Drosophila melanogaster: one gene and its partners. The protein of the gene in region 4 purifies or fractionates together with the protein of the main gene of each other region. This does not show direct contact. Each region holds a gene or a part of one and is shown on either strand. Other genes may lie near its edges.

Region 1 (3,145 bases), 6.4 Mb from region 4:
CAGCGGTAAATGGCGTTGTGCAGTTCGAAGTACTTGTCGCAGATCTCACGGGGAGTAAGGTTCTCTGCCAGTGCCTTGTTCTCGGTGGCCGTACCGTACTCATCCGTGCCGCAAATCAAGAGTGTGTTGTAGCCAGCAGAACGCGAGTAACGAGCATAGATATCCGCAGAGAGAACACAACCAATGATGTTGCCCAAATGTGGCACATTGTTGACATAGGGAAGCGCCGAGGTGATGAGCACGTTACGCTCACCGGGCTTGGGAAGAACAGTTCGCTCCTCCTTGATTTCCTTTGGAGCTGTGTAGGTAAAGGCAGCCTTCGCCGCGCTTATTTCCTCATTCGTAACAGTATCCGCCACCGTTGGCGTGGTATCCACAAGAAGTTTGCTTGCATCCGCCAGGCTGAGACGTTTTAATGGTACATGATGCAAACCTCCATAGCGATTTGACTGCTGCAGAGCATTAAAGCTTAGATCCTTTAGTGGCTGTTCGGCAAGAACTTCCTGAACTTCGGGAAGCGCTTTCACCCTGCCATACCAATCCCTCAAGTTGTCCACGTTCTGTGCTCCCTTGAGAGTGCCATCGGGAGCAAGGAGCGACCAAATGGCGATGTCGGCGGCACTGGGTTTGTCGCCAGCCAGGTAGGGGGTAGCTTTCAGTTTGTCATCCAGCTTCTTGACCAGAGCATTCAGCACGGGCAGCGCGTTTGCATCTGCCTTGTGGCCCACAGCCATGTGGTGGGCCAAAGCCGGGGCCAGCAACGTGGCAGACCATTCCAGCCACTAGGGAGAGAGCACATACGGGAATTAGTTTAACCTTCAGGGGTCAATGGGCCAATAAGTAATTTTCGGAACCCATACCTCATCGCGCTGCTGCCCCTTGCCCACGAAAAGGTACTTGGCAATGGCCGCCGGCGAGAACAAACGCAATCCGTTGTCCAGCTCCAAAGTGGGCAGCACCAGCAAGTCCTTGTACTTAGCGTCTGCAATTAACAATAGTTATTGCATCAGAAATGAGTCATTTTCAGAGCATTCCCCAGAATTCGAAGGGAATCCGTGGCAGAACTCACCATTTAGGTTAACCAACTGCACCTGCACCGGCTGCTTGGCAAATTTGGCGAGCATTAGCAGCTGCAGTCCCAGCGGGTTGCCATCATTCGTGTAGATTATCATTTTGCCTGGATCGGACGCTAATTCTAATTCAATTTACGTGGCAAAAAGGGTTAAAAATCCAACCAAAGTTTTGACGATGCCCACGAGAAACTATTATTTTGGTGATGGGACAGATGGAAAAGCTGTCACGCCGTCGGTGATGTTATCGATTACTTATTTATTTTATATGTCAAATAATTTGAAATAAACAGTTGGCATTAAAGTAACAGGTAATATAGTAGGTCATATTTATTACATATTAATTGTAATATGACTAATAATAACAAGACTAATTCATATATGATTTTCTGGCTATTTTTAGCGTTTTCCGCACCACCGATAATGTCATCACCAGCGACCCGAAACAGCTGATTTAAAAAAAGCAGAAATGTTTATTTACATTTGACAGCAAAAGATTGAGCTTGTAATTAGTTTAAATATTTAAGTAATCCTATCCACTTAAAAAATGGGTGAACGCAAGGGACAGAACAAGTACTATCCGCCCGACTATGATCCGAAGAAGGGCGGTCTCAACAAGTTCCAGGGAACCCACGCCCTGCGGGAACGGGCCCGCAAGATTCACCTGGGAATCATCATCATCCGCTTTGAGATGCCCTACAATATCTGGTGTGATGGATGCAAGAACCACATCGGCATGGGCGTGCGCTACAATGCGGAGAAGACCAAGGTGGGCATGTACTACACTACGCCGGTTTTTAAGTTCCGGATGAAGTGCCACTTGTGCGACAACCACTTTGAGATCCAGACGGATCCCGGCAATTTGGACTATGTTATACTTTCGGGGGCTAGACGGCAGGAGAACCGCTGGGATCCCTTGCAGAACGAACAAGTTGTACCGGAAACCAAGGAGGTACAAAAGCGTCTCTTCGACGATGCCATGTACAAGTTGGAGCATCAAGCCAAGGATGCTAAGGCAGGGGCAGATGCCAGGCCCGTGCTCCAGAAACTAGTGGAGCGCAACATGAGCGTCTGGGATGACAGCTATATGGCCAATAGTCGCCTACGCGCCGAGTTTCGCCAGCAGAAGAAAGAGATCAATGGTCAGCAGGAGCTGGATCGACAGTTGTTGGCCAAGAGCAGCTTGGACATTGCTCTCCTTCCGGAGACCACACAAGATCGCGAAATGGCAGCCCTGATGAAGTTGCAGACGAAGTCAGCTCTGGAACGGGAATCCGAGCAGCGGTTGGAGCTGCTTATGCGTCCAGCGCTTCCCGGAGCAACAGTCACCACATTTGGTGGACTCAAGCGACAAAAGGTTCTGAATACCCAGCTCCAAGTACAGGATCTTGGCATACGGCGTAAAAAGTTGGAAGAAACTACATCTTCAGCCACGAACGAAAAACCCATAAGCTTAGTGGGGGATTACTCCTCCTCAGACAATGATTCCAACGGCTGATTTTATAATGCTTTCTTTATAAATAATTAAATGATTGTATAAAACAAAATAAGTACAAATAAAAAGAATTCTAATATAATCCGTCATTGGGATCCGCGTGTTCGGCGCCTTCATCACCATTATCCTCATTAACCTCGACGGGTTCCTCGTTGATTTCACCATCTATCGTTTTGTAGAGCACCGCTTGAATGCGTTTGCACAACTCAACTAGCTGGTTGTTGTTGATCATGTCGTTGACCAAATCCTCGACCAGGCGCAGTTTGTTGTAGATCTGATTGCTGGCCTCCATGATGTCCTCCCGCTTCAGGCTTAGGTTCTTCATTTCATCAATCAGCTCTTTGAGCGCATCATCATTGGCGTTGACTGGTGATCGCTCCTTGGCGAATTGGCGCGGCTTTATGGGCTTTGCCAACGGCGCATTGGCCAGCGACTTAATGTTCTCCAAGCCCGGAGCCTGCGAGTCGAAGAACTTCTTGAACCACTGCAGGAACTCAAAGTTGTCCTGGAAGCGACCCTTGATCAGTCGATCGATTGGTACCGTTTTGTCCAGCTTCAAGCGATTGAAGGCTTCCTGGAA
Region 2 (5,424 bases), on a different chromosome or scaffold from region 4:
TCCACCTGAAGCACATTGAGACTGTGGATGGGGAGGTGGAAAACGAAGAGGAACTTGAGCGGGAGGTACCCAAAAAGCGCAGGACCAAGTCCAAGAGTCAGCTAAAGATCATTCAAAGGGAGGACAAAGAGGATGAACAGGAGCAGGAACCGGAGCAAACAGAAGGGCGTCCCAAGTTGCGTCTACTGCCCACGGAATTCTTTGAGGCCCTACCAGCTCCCAAGCAGAACAAGCGATTAAATCTGGGAGCCACCTTGAACTCACTGCTATTTCCGGAACCCTTCTCCAGCAAGGCCACCATGGCCAAGGCTAGTCTGTCCCAAAAACCCAAGTCTGTTGAAGAGTCCGAGCCCGAGGAGGATGTGCAACCGGTGCCAAGTGCTAGAAGGCGTCACTCCAGGCTAGGTCACGTGGCCAACGACTTTTTGCAGGCCCAAAAAGAGCTTGGAAAGCATTTCCTCAGCCACATCAACGAGCATGAACACGAGTTTTCTCTAGGAGATGAGGGCATGCGGGAAAGTTCCCTGGAGTCGGCGAATGTCGGTAGGAAGTCCCTCATACAGGATCATTTTGAGGGAAAGAAGGCAACGCCTACTCTTCATTCGAAATTGCCTCAAAAGCCAGCCGATGAGGGTATCACTTCCTGGTGGGATTTACCAGCTATGAGAAGGCGGCGTGCCGTACTTAACACTAATTCCCTGGCTGAACTGCCCTCCAATGCCATAGACAAGGCAGATCGCGATGAGATGATGCCGCTGGGAAGGTACACCTACTACGAGTACAAGATGGATCACGAGGCAGAGAAGGATGCCAGCCAGCCCAGGGAGGAAAAGGAATCCAAGATCATGAGGATCAGCAGCAAGAATTCGCTGGCCTCTGGTCGTAGTCTGACTAAACTCTCCGAAAGCCTCGTGAGCACTATGAAATCAAAGGTATCTCGCTTCATCAACATCATATCCAACCATATGAACGAATGGTACAACACCTTAACCAAGCACTTGGAAACGGATGCGGAAACCCAACCACCCCGCCGACAAAACAGCATTGAGAAGTAGAATGACTTATATTACCATATGACCTTGTTTAAACTGCCAGCATTATAACCGAATGTAAATATATATTTATTTTCAAACATTACTGCATTCAAAGGAATTATATTTGAGCGATAATTCTAAGGGAATTATATTTTTCAAATAAAGCTATATACAGGACTAAGGCAACGAACTAGACGGGCTTAGACTAAGCTTGTGGTAGATTGTTGAGCATTCTTTATTGTACTTGTGAATATGTCATCTCTATAATAAAATGCATTGAATTGAAAAGAATGTTGATATATTTCAGTGGTATCTCGGTTAATGATATATGAAATGAAAAATAAAATAGATTTTTATCTGACATGTTTATACAATTACCCGTAGTACTTCAAATAGTAATAAAGTCTTGGTCATTAAAAAAGTTAATTACTATCCATTATTATTTTCTACATTATTTCAAGCTCATCATTCGAGCTGCATAACTAGAAAAGAAGCTTTGCGAAGCCCCCGACAGGTGGCTTTCTAGACACACTTTCTTGGAATCCACTACCCAGATCTTTCTCTTACCGCTGGTAACTATGTATTATAGTTTGGCTCCACTCTGTGCTCGCTCTTTCGCTGCGAGTGAACCGTTCATGAAGACGATCCCAAAGAGGAGCCCGGAAAGCCGCTTGGCTAACCTGTTACCATGGCTATAAGTGCAATAACAAAATCACCGCGACCACGGCAATACCAAACCGGTGGAGACGATCGCGCATTCTCCGCAGCCTCGGCTTTATAATCGGAATTCCGACTTCAGTCTCCGATTAGTCGTTCAAGGCGAAGGTTGTGGCACTAGCTCTTGGATCCACCAATTCCATTTCGCAGCGCAGATATAGTCCAAAGTGCAGGTCAGCAGAAGTTGGAATAAATTATAGATCAGCCAACAGCCAAAACAGGTGAGTTTGCACTAAAAAACTCGTCTCCGACTGGCAAAAGTTGAGGAACAAAACCCAAAAACGGGTCACTTCTAGACTTTTTCATACATCTATAGATCTTGTTTCTTTTCGAGACTGCATTGTAGGGCGTGGTTCGGTTGGGGGGGTTCTTAAATGGTGCATGCAAGCGTAACCAGAGCCAGTCTTCGAGTCTTGAGGAAAGCTCTTGGAAATCTTTGTGACGTGGACGGTGGGGGAAAAAAAAAACAAACAGAGAAGAAAAAACCAGAAACTCAAAACGACATGAAACTTCAGACTTTCTTTCTTGTTCAACCTTCTTTCGTTTGGGCTGTCAATGAACTTGGTTGAATGTTATTTTTTTCGGCGTTTCATCATAATAAGCCATAATTACGCACATGTGTGAAAGTGAAAGTGTAAGTTTTCTCAACAGTTTTCGAAATTGATTTATTGACAGTCACTGATAAACGATTTGAATTGTGAAAACCTTCGCCGACTAACCAATATCCCCAAAACCATGAAACCCCAAAACCCAAAACCAAACTCGTTTCGTTATGCCCTAAGACAATCGTCTGGCTTTGGCAGCTTCGGTTATTATATAATCTGATTTGCATGTTGACACCGATATATACGTATATGAAGATACAATATATAGTATACACACCTCGGCATATTTGTAGGATGGGTTTCATCTTCGGTTGGCTGTCGACCGAGCACTATGTGCGCGACATCTTCCTCATGACTTCAGTGGCCGCCATAGTGGCCACCCTGATGAGCATTCGGTTCTATCTGCGCATCACGGCGGGACGATGTTTCACCGAGGTAACGAACGCACCTCACCCAATCCAAAAAACCAAGTCCCATGCTCCCCAGAATCGCGACACGACTCGAATATTTCGCACTTTATATGGCTGTTGCTCCCACTTCCGCTGCGAATTCTTTTCAGATCTTGTAGATGAGCTGTCATATACATACAAATGATGGTGGGATAGTTTACTAAAACAGTATTCGGACACGACCTTAAGCTTATTAATCGCTCAAAACTTTTACAAATTTTATATATTCATATAAATGCGAACTATTCAGATAAACATTACAGATCCATAATTGAAAATGGTTCAGCTTACCGCTCTATAGAAAACTACATATATCACTATCTGGAAAAACCCCATATAATTAAAACGATTCTGTAGCATTCCAAGCATTCCGACTATGGAAATCTTTTAACTATATATGAAATCACCACTAGGAAAACTTAACGTGTTTCAATCTTGTTATTACATTGGTCAGTTGTGACGCGTCGACTTAATTACAGATTAAATTAGATACCTTCTGAGAGGCGAGGTACGTCACATCTCTGAGCTACGATTACCACCTGACCGAACATTGTTCGTATCCCACAAAACATCTAAGCTTCTGGGTATCTCGGTTACAATCTGTGAGATCGCTTACCTCTGATTCACAGAAAGCTCTCAGCACTCGAATGGCAATTAAGCGACCCGTTAATGGGTCTGAAAACTAAGATAGCTTCCGTTCCAGACGAACTGCGATTACTGTGACTGTGAACAAGCGCCAACTAATTAGTATTGTAAACATATTTTCGAACCGCCCTCGTCCAATTTTCGATTGCAGCGCCGTATTAAATGATTAACCTTCGACATTGATTACAGACAAAGATGGAGGGCAAGACAGTCATTATCACAGGCGCCAACAGCGGAATTGGCAAGGAGACGGCCAAGGATCTGGCTGGACGTGGAGCCCGCATCATCATGGCCTGCAGGAACCTGGAGACTGCCAATGCAGTGAAGGGTAAGTGGACCAAGACAATGCCTATGAGGTTATGCCAAGGATCTGGCAGGACATGCAACACGGTCAAATTCCGATAACTGGTCTCATCCAGTTGATTATAGACTCTGGCAAAAACTGCTTACTACCAATGATCTTTTTTTATTAAATATTTACGTTGTAATTACTTTAAAGAAAGTATCTTATAATATGTTGGCGTTGCATTAACCATGTTTTTTTTTACATAACCGAATTTTGTAATTTATTGTTGATTTCCCACAGATGAGATCGTCAAGGAGACGAAGAACAACAAGATCCTAGTCAAGAAACTGGATCTGGGCTCCCAGAAGTCCGTCCGTGAGTTCGCCGCTGACATTGTGAAGACCGAGCCCAAGATCGATGTGCTTATCCACAATGCCGGCATGGCTCTGGCCTTCCGCGGACAGACGAGTGAGGATGGCGTGGAGCTGACCATGGCCACCAATCACTATGGACCCTTCCTGCTGACGCATCTGCTCATCGATGTACTAAAGAAGAGCGCGCCGGCTCGCATAGTCATCGTAGCCTCGGAGCTGTACCGCCTGTCGTCGGTTAACCTGGCCAAGCTCAATCCCATCGGCACTTTCCCGGCTGCCTACTTATACTATGTGTCCAAGTTTGCGAACATCTACTTTGCCCGGGAGCTGGCCAAGCGGCTGGAGGGCACCAAGGTTACAGTGAATTTCCTGCATCCCGGCATGATCGACTCGGGCATTTGGCGTAACGTTCCCTTCCCCCTCAACTTGCCCATGATGGCCATCACCAAGGGATTCTTCAAGACCACCAAGGCCGGCGCCCAGACCACTATCTATTTGGCCACATCCAATGAGGTGGCCAATGTGTCTGGAAAGTACTTCATGGACTGCAAGGAGGCCACCCTTAATGCTGCTGCCCTCGATGAGGAGAAGGGTCTCAAGATCTGGGAGGAGTCCGTGAAGATTGTCAAGCTTACGCCCCAGGATCCCAAAATCTAGACGGGTGTCTGCGGCTGAGAGCCAACGCACAATTTACTGATTTACTTTTCTTGTTTTTAAGGGGGAGTTTACTGTAGCCTAAGTTTTCTCAATAAAAATGATTTTGTATAATTAAATGTGGCTCGTTTTCAATATGATATATTTGCTGTCAGAAAAAAAAGCACATCAAATTTCTGACTATATATAATATATTACAAAGATCTTGGTTGTTATATCGGTTGCTCGTGAGTAAAAGGGTATACTAGAATCAAGACTAGAATATAGTCTGGATCAAGATCAATAGCCGAGTCGATCTGGCCATGTTCCTCTGTCCGTCTGAATGTCGAGATCTCAGGAACTTTAAAAGCTAGAAGGTTGTGATGCAGCATACAGATTCTAGATACATAGACACAGCGCATTCACACTAACTGAGCAACGGGTATCTGTTAGTCGGGGAACTCGACTTCTTATTGGCACAGGATTTCGGCTTGGATTTGCAAGGGGACCGTTTTTGTATTACATGTAATATATATTGACAGTCACTCGATAAATCTTTTGCTAGGTAACTAGATATGACAATTCTGACAAGTTTTGAACTTTTCAACTTATTGCTTCTCGTTATTTATTTTGTAGCTGCAGCTTCTTAGTCAAATGATCTTTAAAAAAGTTCTTCTAGGT
Region 3 (6,948 bases), on a different chromosome or scaffold from region 4:
GAATACATAATTATTCCAGTAAAAACATTTCTGTATCTTTTGGAACCTCTATTAATTAACTACAAGTAGAGACTAGCTAATTAATTGTATTTCCTCCACAGAACCCATCGAAATGAGCGTCCTTATGCCTGCAAGACCTGCGGAAAGAAGTTCACATATGCCAGTGTCCTTAAAATGCACTACAAGACGCACACGGGCGAAAAACCCCACATGTAAGTGGTTTCGGTTTTAAACTAAATCAAACCTAAAACTTATCACGTTGCTATTATTACTTCAGATGCCAACTCTGCAACAAAAGCTTCGCTCGCATTCACAATCTCGTGGCGCATCTGCAAACGCAACAGCATATAAATGATCCACGACTGACTGCCTATCTAAGTACCTTTAAAGTGGGGATTACTGTAGCTAATGCTTAATAATATAATATTTATAAGATCGCGACATTTTACCTTTGCTTAAAGCCTAAAACTTTGTATATACGACCTTTGTTATATAAAGTTTGCTAGAAAGATTTCATGAAACTAACTAAAAAGCATTCTAAAAAAAAAAACAAACTGTTTACATTTTTACAATTTATTCTTTTACTTGACTTACTTGCAAAGCGGTACGCAATCTTTTTTCTTTGTTTTGTTCTTTTCTAATTTTTGTTTTACAAAATTTTACAACTTTTATGTGTTGTACGAGGGAAATGCCGAAAAGTGATTGATAAGTGCTGACTTGGCGCTGGTGTTCGAGATAATTGTAGTGTAGGAGGATTATGAGGTCGGTTGTATCCGTTAACAAAATTAAATAACAAACTATGAACTTGGATTGTGTGGGGGCAACGATGACCGGACTGGCTGGCTGATGGCCTTTGCACAGCAAAGAAGCATCTACTTGGCCACCATGCGTATCTTGTCCTTCAGCAGATTGCGCAGCTCGGTGACCATCAGCTCGTGCGAGTCCTTAAAGGTGGCCGAAACGTCGCCGATGAGCGTGGCTTCCACCTCCGGCTTCAGCGACATGTCAGACATAAAGGAGCTGAGGTCGCGTGGCAAAACGGGCGCCTTCCAGGAGCCTAAGGATTGCAGAATCATACCTTAGTTTATCTTTGGGCGATTTGTCTAGAGCCACTTACGTATGGCCGTGTCGCAGGCCTCAAACTTGTGCTTCAGCTGTCGCATCAGCTCCTGCAACATCTGGCTGCGCTCCTTCTCGCTGATCGGCTGCGGTCCATCCACCTTGTTTTCCACCGGCTTCTTCTTGGTCTTGGTCTTTGAGCTTACCTGCAGCTTGTCGTTCAACACGGACAGAAGGAAGGCGTACAGCGATAGCATCTGGAAAAGTTATAAGAACATTGGTGAATTTAAGATTACCTGCTTTTACTACCAACATTTTACCTCTAAACTGGCTGCCACTTTCTGCTGCTGACCTCGCCGCTTCCACAGACCGTCAATGCCGTTGCTTTCGTTGCTCTCGTTGATGGTCTGCACGCACAGCTCCATAGTCGCAATAACATTGTCACCCACCCGCTTGCACTGCTCGGCCAGCTTTGCCGACCCGCTCTGCAAGTCAAGGACCAACTGGGCAAGGTCGTCAAAGAAACGTTCGTATGGCATGTCGAGCAGCAGGTGAAGACGTGTGGGCAGCAGATTGACTAGAAATTTTTGCGCCAACGGCTTGTAGTTCATCACGCGCAATCTCTGGAATAATCCCGTCCAGGACTCCCGCAGGAGCTCCAAGGTGGCCGTCTCTGCTCCCGCTGGCGAATCCTTTAAGCCCGCGCCGTGGTACAAGTCGATGAAAGAGGCAAAGAGTCGAAGCATCAGCGAACGTACTTGAAGCACCTCAACTTCCTGGTCGAACGACTCCCTGCGCTCCTCCGCAGCGTCTACCTCATGTAGCGGATCCCATCGGATAATGGCCCCTAAGTCGCGATTGTCGCTCAACTCATGCCAAGCGATCCGGTCCTCCGCCGGCTCAATACTCATCGCCACATATGCGGATAGATTCTGCGTGATATTGCCATAGCAACTAACCAAGTCACAGATCTGCGCCTCCACCGAGCAGGCCACGTACTGCAAGCTGTTGGTTAACCGCTCCTTGAAGTTCATGAACTCCTCCATTTTTGAAAACGTGCAAAAGCGATATGTTAACGCAATGTATTCCAGCCTTTCCTTATAGCTGTTCGTAAAAAACTTTAGGGTGGCATCGTACACGTTACGATTGCCCGAGAAGCGACCTCCAAGAGCCAACAGTTGGCAGTGCACATAGCCCATGGAGTCCAGCTGAATCTGCTTAATGTCCAGATACTCATACATCTCCTGTGCGCCCACTTGGCAGCCAAACAGATGGTAGATCTTTAGACTTAGCAGTTTCACGTGGAAGTTACTCGTACTGTTTCGCAGAACATACTGCAGCAGGCACAGCGCCTCGAACAGGTGATCCGACTTATTTTCCCGCCTACTCAGATCGTACATTACATTTGCCGCCAGCAGTGCGTATGCATCCGATGGTCCCATTTCCGTAGCCAGCAACTTCTTACCGAAAGTAGTCCTGCCGTGCTCGTAGTGCAGCTTGAGCGCCGTATAGAAGGCAAGCAGGTGGTCCGCAGGCAGATCCATGTGGGATCCGCACATTCGAGAGATTTGCAGAGCGCAAAGATGTTTTTGCAACTGCTCTTTCTACAATAATCATATACCAACAATCGTTAGACTCAAAGTTGAATTTATAATTTTTGCGTACTTACATTTTTTGGAAGCGACGTGGAGGTTACTCCGCTCTCCAACAACAACTTGCTGGCTAGCGCTTGCCTCTGGTTCATGCTGATCGAAGGCAAGAACAAGGCGATATCGTGAGTGCAGCACGATTTGTCGCCGAACAGACGGAAGTACTCAATGACCATCTCGTCAAAGTCACCGATTAGTTTTTCCGCCGGCAATTGCTCCGCTCGCATGCGTTGGTGTAGCTCCAACCGCGCCAGATAGGGTCCCCTTTTCTTGCGCTCCGAGGAGTCAATGATGCGCTGAAGGAACTCCTGACACCTGGCCAGAGAGTCCTTATCCCCGTTCTCCACGCCCTGCGGCGTAAGTTTTAGCAGCTCGAACGAGCTTTGGATATACTCCTTGTAGAAGTCCCAACGATCACGACTTGGGGATAAAAAATAAAACTTAGAAAACGTAGTTATACATATGAACTTATTGTTTAAGCTCACTCTGCGTCCAGCAGCTGCTGCAGCAGCTCATTCAATTCCCGCCAGTTTCCCAGCTCCTTGAGCAGCTCGAACTTCATGCTGACTGGAGCACCGGGGTACAGCTTCGCGCACAGCTCACCAGTAAGGAATTCCCACGCCTCCTGGTACTTGTTTTGTAGCTTAAGTATGTGCAGATAGAGGAAGGCCTCCTGTTCCGTCTCCATTTTGCCCTCCTTGATGTGCTTGTCGACCATGCGTTGCGCCAGTCCCAAGTAGATTTTCCGCTTCTCGGGCAGCGCCGATTCCGGTCCACGGATTCCCTGGAAGACTACGCTGATCACCGACCAAAAGTAGTAGGCATTTTTCGGCTGCGCCTTGTACAGCTGCAGGGCCACCGCCTGCTGCGCCTTGTAGTCCTCCACCCTCACATGTGAGATGAAGAGGTGGGCGAGGAGCTCCTCGTTGCCCGGATTCTGCTTCACAGCGTGCTGGTACAGCTCCACAATTTTGTCCACTGCAAAGAGGCCGATATTTATATATTATTAGCGATTTCAACTTTCGCAGGTACAGGTATCTATATATTCAGATCGTTGGCACGCACTTGCCACTCGTCGTCCGACTAAGAGAATGCGATTTTAATTAGTCGGGCGAGGTGCGCGTGCCAAGAAAATACGAAAATATGAATTGTGGCCACTTCGTGTGCGTAGCAGGGGCGTCTCTAGGGGATTCACAGATGTGGCTAAGAAACATTCTTACTTAAAAATGTTGCTTTGTATTCGTCAATCGAATTTAAAAAAGCTCAACAAATTGTATCCTTTGATCGACCATGGTTTCGTATTTAAATAACTTAAGTAAATATTAATATTATCTTTAAATCTATACTTTAAAATATTTTGTATATACATATACATACATATACAAGCATTTAACTCATGGATAAGGAAGCTATTCTTTTTATAAAATTTCAATTCTAGAATGCCTGTAACCTTTACACATTTGAAAGGAGAAATCTAAATCCTTAATTATTATCTATACATACAATGAGTCCTTGCCTCACACAGGCATTTCGTTTTTAGATTTAAAATTGGATATTAACTTACAAAAGGTTCTTCATAACTTAAAAGTGTGCTTCACAAGTCAAATTCATAAATGAAACTAATAATTTATAGCCTATCAGGAGCTACTTGTGAACAAATTAGTTATTTCTGATGGCTGGTGCCCTTCTTCATCGCGTTAGAACGAGAGACTAGGTTCGTGCTTTAAGAGTTTATGGCTAGTTGGTTATATCATACTCCTAAATAACTTCTACTTGAGGTAATGTACCTCCTAGACCATGCTTAGTACGTTATCAATCTTGCATTTGACTGAACCTAATCCCCAGCAAACGGTGGCTCCACGTGGGCTCAGTACATCAGCCCTGCCGGTGGTTTACCCATACGTACGTTGTTCCATTTCGCGGTAGCAGAAGGACAGCACCTGCAGCGTGGAGTCGTCCGTGGGCTTCTCCTCGGCAACGGTCTGGAGGCATCCGTGGCTTTCGTCATAGCGTCCCAGTCGCAGGAGCGAGAGGCCTTTCAATGCCCGCGCGCAGAGCAGGTTGGGATGTTTGCGTAGCAACTTCTCGGATTCCTGCAGAGCCTTGCGATTGTTGCCCACCTCCAGGTTGTCTGCAAAGGATTGGGATGTTAGTCTGTGAGACTGTGGACCCGGCACATGGAGCGCCTCATTCCGCCGTGGACACGGACAACACACTCACCGTATACCGGCCGCAGTCGCCGCTCGAACAGGGCCGAGTCCATGCCCTGCTGCTGTGCCATGTTATCGTGTTATGTGGTGCTGCTGTATGCTGCTAACCTAATTACAACGTGCTGCATGCACCTCGAACTGAGACTCGCTCTCTTTTGGGTTTTGCGGCACGCTGTCGTCTGCCGTTGATTAATTTCCTGCAATCGTTTGGGGGCTCTCCTTGGGTTGCCCTCGGTGTTTGGGCGGTCGGGGACGGGCGGCTGGCTCTCGGGCACTCGAATCACACGGTCGTAGGCTAATTATGTGCTTATTTTCATAGAAACTAGTGACTTTAAATTTTATTCAAAATAAAAAAAACCTCAGACTGCATATTCGGTGAGAAGAGAGCGGCCCCTGTATTTTCTCCAGTATTTTCTGGTATTTTTCGAGAAGAGCATGCCGACATTAGGGGTCTTCGCTCAAATCACAAATTTAAGCCATCAAGATACTCTTATTGGGAAACTTTTAAAATTCCATTCAATCATTCTGCTTAGAATTTTAAGGTTAGAATATGTCTTGTACAAAAGTGAATTTCTAATAGTAGTTTTTAGTAATTTTGTTATTATCTATGATCAACAAAGTATTGATATTCTTCAAAAAGTAGAAATGTTCATAACTGTAATTCTTTATATTTCAGATTAAGTTTTCAAAAAAAACTTAAGATTTTATAAAAACAGTGACAAGAGTACCCCTACCGCTGGGCACTTTGTCCAACAGCTGAGCGATAGAGATGGACTGATATATTCTCACGAATGGTAGCTTGCCAGCGAACGATGAATGGCAGAAAAGAGTTTATCAATTTATTCGAGTGCCAATTAGATAATTTAAGCTTTGTAGTTGCACGGCGCACCGGACAGGTTGATTAGAAATCGTGAATGAGTCAGCGTGAGTCACGCACCTGCCACGCACCACGCCAGTTGCCCATCTCTAGCTGCTGCCCCCGAAAGTCGAAAACGCGTAAAGTTTTCGAATAAAATGCAGAGATTAGCCGATTAGGCGGCGCGCGGGCTCGTAACCAAACGTTTTGAAGTATTAAACTACCGATTAAGAAACACATCCACTTAGTGAAATAGTTTAAGTAACCGCCCGAGCACCGTTATCGCCGCTTTTCCGCTTTTCCTCGCTGCCAAATTGCGCTGCATGTCCATTTTTGGTGAAGAATTTCTCGCCAAAAATCTTGCCCTTGGCCGGACGCAATGAGCGATGAGATTTAACTGGCTGAGCGAGTACGTGGCCAGCATATCAAGCAGCATTGCATCGACATCCCCGTGGCGCCAACTGCAGCAGCAGGTGCAGCAGCTCGTCCCCAATCCTCAGGCCATCTACTGCCGTATCAGGTCATCATCCGCCGAAGCACTGGAGCACGTACTGATCGCCTGTGCGGTGTACTTGCTAGTATGCCTGGGCCTCTACAAGCTCACCTTCTGGCTCTCGGGAGCCGGATCGGGATCGGGACTGGACGCCCACCACAACGGCAACGACACCAGCAATGCCGGGTCGGGCGAGGGGGCAGAGCTGAACCCAAGTTCGGATGGCAATCGGAGTCCTGGCGGCCTGAAGCAGGCCCTTCAGTCCGGAATACGGCTGCGTAGCGTCCGGCTGCCCAAAACGGCGTGCATGGAGCGCGTCCTGCTGATCACCGCCCATCCGGATGACGAGTGCATGTTCTTCGGACCGCTGATCTACTCGCTGACGCAGCGCCAAGGCTGCCAGGTGTATATACTCTGCTTGTCCAACGGTGAGACCACCAGCAGTGACATCATCCCCAAACCACCAATAGATCTGGAAGCATTAAACGAAAGTACACATTTCGAAATCAGTAGCGAATCTGACTTAGCTTTATTGCTGCCATATGGGCACAGCATTCTCTTTGTGTTAGCCAACAATCGATTTCGTGCAATATATGTAGTCCGTATTGGAATTTTTAATAATCTTTAAATGTTATATATTCCTGCCCATTCTACTGTTATTATTTTAATTATTGCAAAGAT
Region 4 (3,744 bases):
GTAGTCAGGTGCAGGAGCAAGTGCAGCCGCAGCAGCGAATGCTGCCGCCAACGGAGCAGCCGTATAACTTCTATTTACCTCTATACGACTTCGTGGAGCCCAAGCTGGATGCCAAGAGCCGAATGCTGGAGAAGATTGCTCCTCCGCCGCAAAAGACGGAGCACAACTACTACGCGGAAAAGCCAAAAAAGAAGCCAAAGAAGTTTAACGCTGCCAACAAGCACATCAACCTCAATCTCAAGTGGCTTAACACCTACGAGAGGGCCATGGGCGGAGCAACTGCGCCCAAAGCCATGTATCTGGAGCAGGACGAGCGCAACCGAATAAACTTCGACGACTCCTTCTTTGCGGTGGACATGCAGGTAAAGATTCCGGATAATCAGCCCCACAAGGAGCCAGCTGCGCCCACAGAGCTCTTGCAGCATGGCGAAGAGCAGGCCGAGGAAGATTTGATGGCGGCTCCTGCGCAGTTAGCCTTTAACTTCAAGTCTCCCGTCCAGGAAGAACGTCGAACATAGATGCGGTTTTTTTTGCTATAGGTTTTAGTCAGTTGTATAAAAAAGCTACAATAAATGCACTTAGAGTGAGTAAAGTCCAGAATACGGATTCGACCAGTTGGCCTCCTCCTACTTCTTCCGCAGCTCCTTGCAGAAGGTCTCGGCAGCAGCAGCCTCGCGAGACACGGGCACATTTTTCTGAGCCTCATCCTCCTCGAGTTTTTTGACACCCTGACGCACAACGCGTTCAATGTCGTCCAGCAATCCGGAGGCTCCGAAACGGAACCTCTCGGGACGCAACCAGCGGATGCCAAGAGTTTCGTTGACCAACGTCATCCAGGCGATCGCATCTCGTACAGTCTTTACTCCTCCGGCTGGCTTAAGGCCCACAATCTGGCACGTGCGTCGTTTGAATTCCTGAATGGCAAATATCATGACCAGGCCAACGGGCAGGGTGGCGTTGACTGTCTCCTTTCCCGTTGAGGTCTTGATAAAATCCGCTCCGGCCATCATGCAAACCATGGCTGCTTTGTAAACCTAAAGAAATTAATGGATTTGAATGGTATTTTAGTATAGGGATTAGGCGATATTGATCTCACATTATCCATGGTGCCCAGCTCCCCGATGGCCAGAATTGTTTTTAGGTGAGCCCTTTGTCCACAGGCACTGCGCATAAGGACCACCTCGTTGTACATGGCCTCCCAGTCGCCAACGAGGGCCAACTGGCGATTGATCACAATGTCGATCTCTGTGGCTCCAGCAAGAATGGCGTGGCTGATCTCCTGCAGGCGGGTCTGCAGGCCGTACTGGCCCGTGGGAAATCCCGTGGCCACCGCTGCAATAGCCACCTTATCCAGTTTGTCGTACTGTTGGATAGCTAAATAGGCGTCCTTTACCCTGGCGGGATAAACGCAAACGGCGGCCGTGTGCATCTCTGGGATGAGAGCCCGGTCGAAGAACTTGTCAAAGAACTGCGGCTCGAAGGGATAGCAGGCGCGTAGGCATAGTCTCCGCACATTGGCAGCCGTATCATCGCCCGCCAAGGTGGTAAGATCTGTCAGCATCAGAGCCCTCAGCGCCCAGGCGATTTCGTTGGCTCCGGTGACATGGCATCGCTGGGACACCGTCAAAGCGATCTCCTCGACCTGCCGCAGCGAGATGTTTACCTTAAGCAGGGAGGGATCTGCGAAATATATATGTATATATTTAAATTCGTACTATTGTGCGAATTCTTACCATAGGGCAGGGTTTTGTTTACTTCCAATTCCTTCACATCCATGCTGCTCATTGCTGTCAAACGAAAATTTAGCTGACTAAATTCCACTTGAAGATAAAATCGTTCGATCGCCGATCTTGACCTCTAATCTTCTACTCAACCTCAACCGAAGAACATGGAGAGTCTTATCAATTTGCTTGTTGGACAGCTGATGACGACGTTGCCAGACCGTTCGCATTAACTGATAATTTATGAGATGGATTCCGTTAAAAGATCACCGATATTAACAATAAGTAAATTTGTTATGTAAAACTCCACAGCTTGCTGTTTAATAAAGCCAATCGCTTAGGTAACTTTGTCTATTTTTTATTGTCTTAATACTTGCGAAATACACCTAATTTTAATATTGCATTTTCGATATGAAATTTGTAAGTACAAGATATTGTGAATTTTAAAATACCGCGTCAGCGAGGTAGAAAACATGTAATTTTTATAGCGCTAATTGAACTACTGCTTTGTGACAAGGGGTTTTCATCGATGTTTGGCCCACTGCTCCCAGTACTCCCTCTTCTGCATTTCATAGAGTCGAGATAGTGTGCGATCAAAGGCGAACAGCTCTTCCTCGCCGGTGAAAAAACTGGCTTTGGATTCTTTCTGTAAACAAAAACGTGTTGATTTTAATGGTAGAAGAATGAGTTACTAACTTACTATATTTAGATCGTCCATTAGGGTTCGCTCAGAATCGGACAGAGTTTTGGAACCTCCAGTAAAGCTGAACAAGTTTTCCAGCGCAACGTCGGATGATATCACCACACGCACTCGGTTATTGTAAAGGGTATCTATGAGCGTGATAAATCGTCGCATCTGTGCCTTCACATCAAGGGTCAGCTGGGGCACATCTCGGATGAGGACGGTGTGAAAGAATTGCGATATCTGTAAGAAATCACTGCCAGCCAAAGGCTAATGCGGAATATGTTGAGTATGGGTAAGATTATGTATTAATACTTTGCTTACGCGATCACAGAGTTCCGAGAAGGTGCTGTCCAGTACCTGGCCACACGTGCGATTGAAGGTCAGATCTCTTCCGAAATGAGTCAGGGTTCGCGGCCGGATAATATCGTTTTCTTCGGCGCACAGGATCTTGAACATGCGATTCATACTGCCGTCCGCATCCGTTTGGCCTTTGACGAAGTAGTTGGTGTCACCAGATTGGGCTATACGTCGGTAGTCAATAGAATCCAACTGGGACACCTTACAGCGACGCTGAAGTAACGCAATGAAGGGCAGAAAGTTCGTGCGCTGCAGTCCGTTCTTGTACAGATCCTCTGGATGCCGATTGCTGGTGGCCACAACCACAATGCCATGGCGGAAAAGGTGCGTAAACAATCTCTTTAGCACCATGGCGTCGGCTATGTCCGTCACCTGAAATTCATCGAAGCAAATCAACCAGGACTCACTGGCAATCAGGTCAGCAACCGGTTTTGTGGGATCAAATGGTGCTGGTTTTTCAGAATTAAAGGCACGGTCAACAGGTCCTTGTCTCTGCTTGGCCTCGTGGATGCGGGTGTGCACGGTGTTCATGAACGAAGTAAAATGGACGCGCTGCTTTCGATGAATCTGAAAGTCACAAGTCATGTGAATATGGGCCTCGAGAAATACTCATTCATCACTTACTTGGGTACAGCAGTCGAAGAACAGGTCCATCAGAGTGGTCTTGCCCACACCCACGCTGCCGTACAGGTACAGACCCTGAGGAGCGTGACTGCCAGCGTTAGGATCATCCTGATCGTCATCTTCGGTGGAAGATTTCCTACCAAAGATTGAACTGAAGAATCCTCCGCCGCCACCGCCCGCCCTGTAGCTGGGTTTATACCCCTGAATCTTGTGGTACAGCGCATCCAGCTCCTTCATCGTCTGCAGCTGCCTGTTGTCGGTCATCAGTTGGCCAGAACTAACACGCTTCTCATATTCCTTCAGCGGACTGAGACCGCTCATGTGGCAGGCGGGCGCCCATAGGAGCAGCGGCTTCTG

What was found.
Region 1: the proteins of Dera (region 4) and CG15084 purify together in Drosophila melanogaster (affinity purification with mass spectrometry, with the first as the bait; one large-scale study listed by BioGRID). This does not show direct contact.
Region 2: the proteins of Dera (region 4) and CG7675 purify together in Drosophila melanogaster (affinity purification with mass spectrometry, with the first as the bait; one large-scale study listed by BioGRID). This does not show direct contact.
Region 3: the proteins of Dera (region 4) and psidin purify together in Drosophila melanogaster (affinity purification with mass spectrometry, with the first as the bait; one large-scale study listed by BioGRID). This does not show direct contact.

What each region holds. Positions count from the first base shown.
Region 1 is NT_033778.4:18,849,319-18,852,463, forward strand, and holds CG15084 (uncharacterized protein), read left to right. Parts: upstream 1-1,525; 5' UTR 1,526-1,617; coding exon 1,618-2,568; 3' UTR 2,569-2,638; downstream 2,639-3,145. Other genes in the region: MetRS (Methionyl-tRNA synthetase), read right to left, coding at 1-782, 861-982, 1,070-1,172; CG18190 (uncharacterized protein), read right to left, coding at 2,639-3,145.
Region 2 is NT_033777.3:18,377,580-18,383,003, reverse strand, and holds CG7675 (uncharacterized protein), read left to right. Parts: upstream 1-1,825; 5' UTR 1,826-1,972; intron 1,973-2,267; exon of another isoform or gene 2,268-2,385; intron 2,386-2,649; 5' UTR 2,650-2,650; coding exon 2,651-2,791; intron 2,792-3,639; coding exon 3,640-3,778; intron 3,779-4,036; coding exon 4,037-4,767; 3' UTR 4,768-4,880; downstream 4,881-5,424. Other genes in the region: CG14309 (uncharacterized protein), read left to right, coding at 1-1,055.
Region 3 is NT_033777.3:20,020,095-20,027,042, reverse strand, and holds psidin (phagocyte signaling impaired), read right to left. Parts: upstream 5,340-6,948; 5' UTR 4,990-5,339; coding exon 4,929-4,989; intron 4,840-4,928; coding exon 4,615-4,839; intron 3,687-4,614; coding exon 3,194-3,686; intron 3,129-3,193; coding exon 2,729-3,128; intron 2,664-2,728; coding exon 1,380-2,663; intron 1,317-1,379; coding exon 1,118-1,316; intron 1,058-1,117; coding exon 873-1,057; 3' UTR 561-872; downstream 1-560. Other genes in the region: CG4424 (uncharacterized protein), read left to right, coding at 102-212, 278-416; PIG-L (phosphatidylinositol glycan anchor biosynthesis class L), read left to right, coding at 6,161-6,695.
Region 4 is NT_033778.4:12,423,752-12,427,495, reverse strand, and holds Dera (Deoxyribose-phosphate aldolase), read right to left. Parts: upstream 2,014-3,744; 5' UTR 1,786-2,013; coding exon 1,734-1,785; intron 1,681-1,733; coding exon 1,097-1,680; intron 1,035-1,096; coding exon 627-1,034; 3' UTR 521-626; downstream 1-520. Other genes in the region: CG13154 (uncharacterized protein), read left to right, coding at 1-518; CG8520 (uncharacterized protein), read right to left, coding at 2,245-2,367, 2,422-2,673, 2,728-3,330, 3,388-3,744.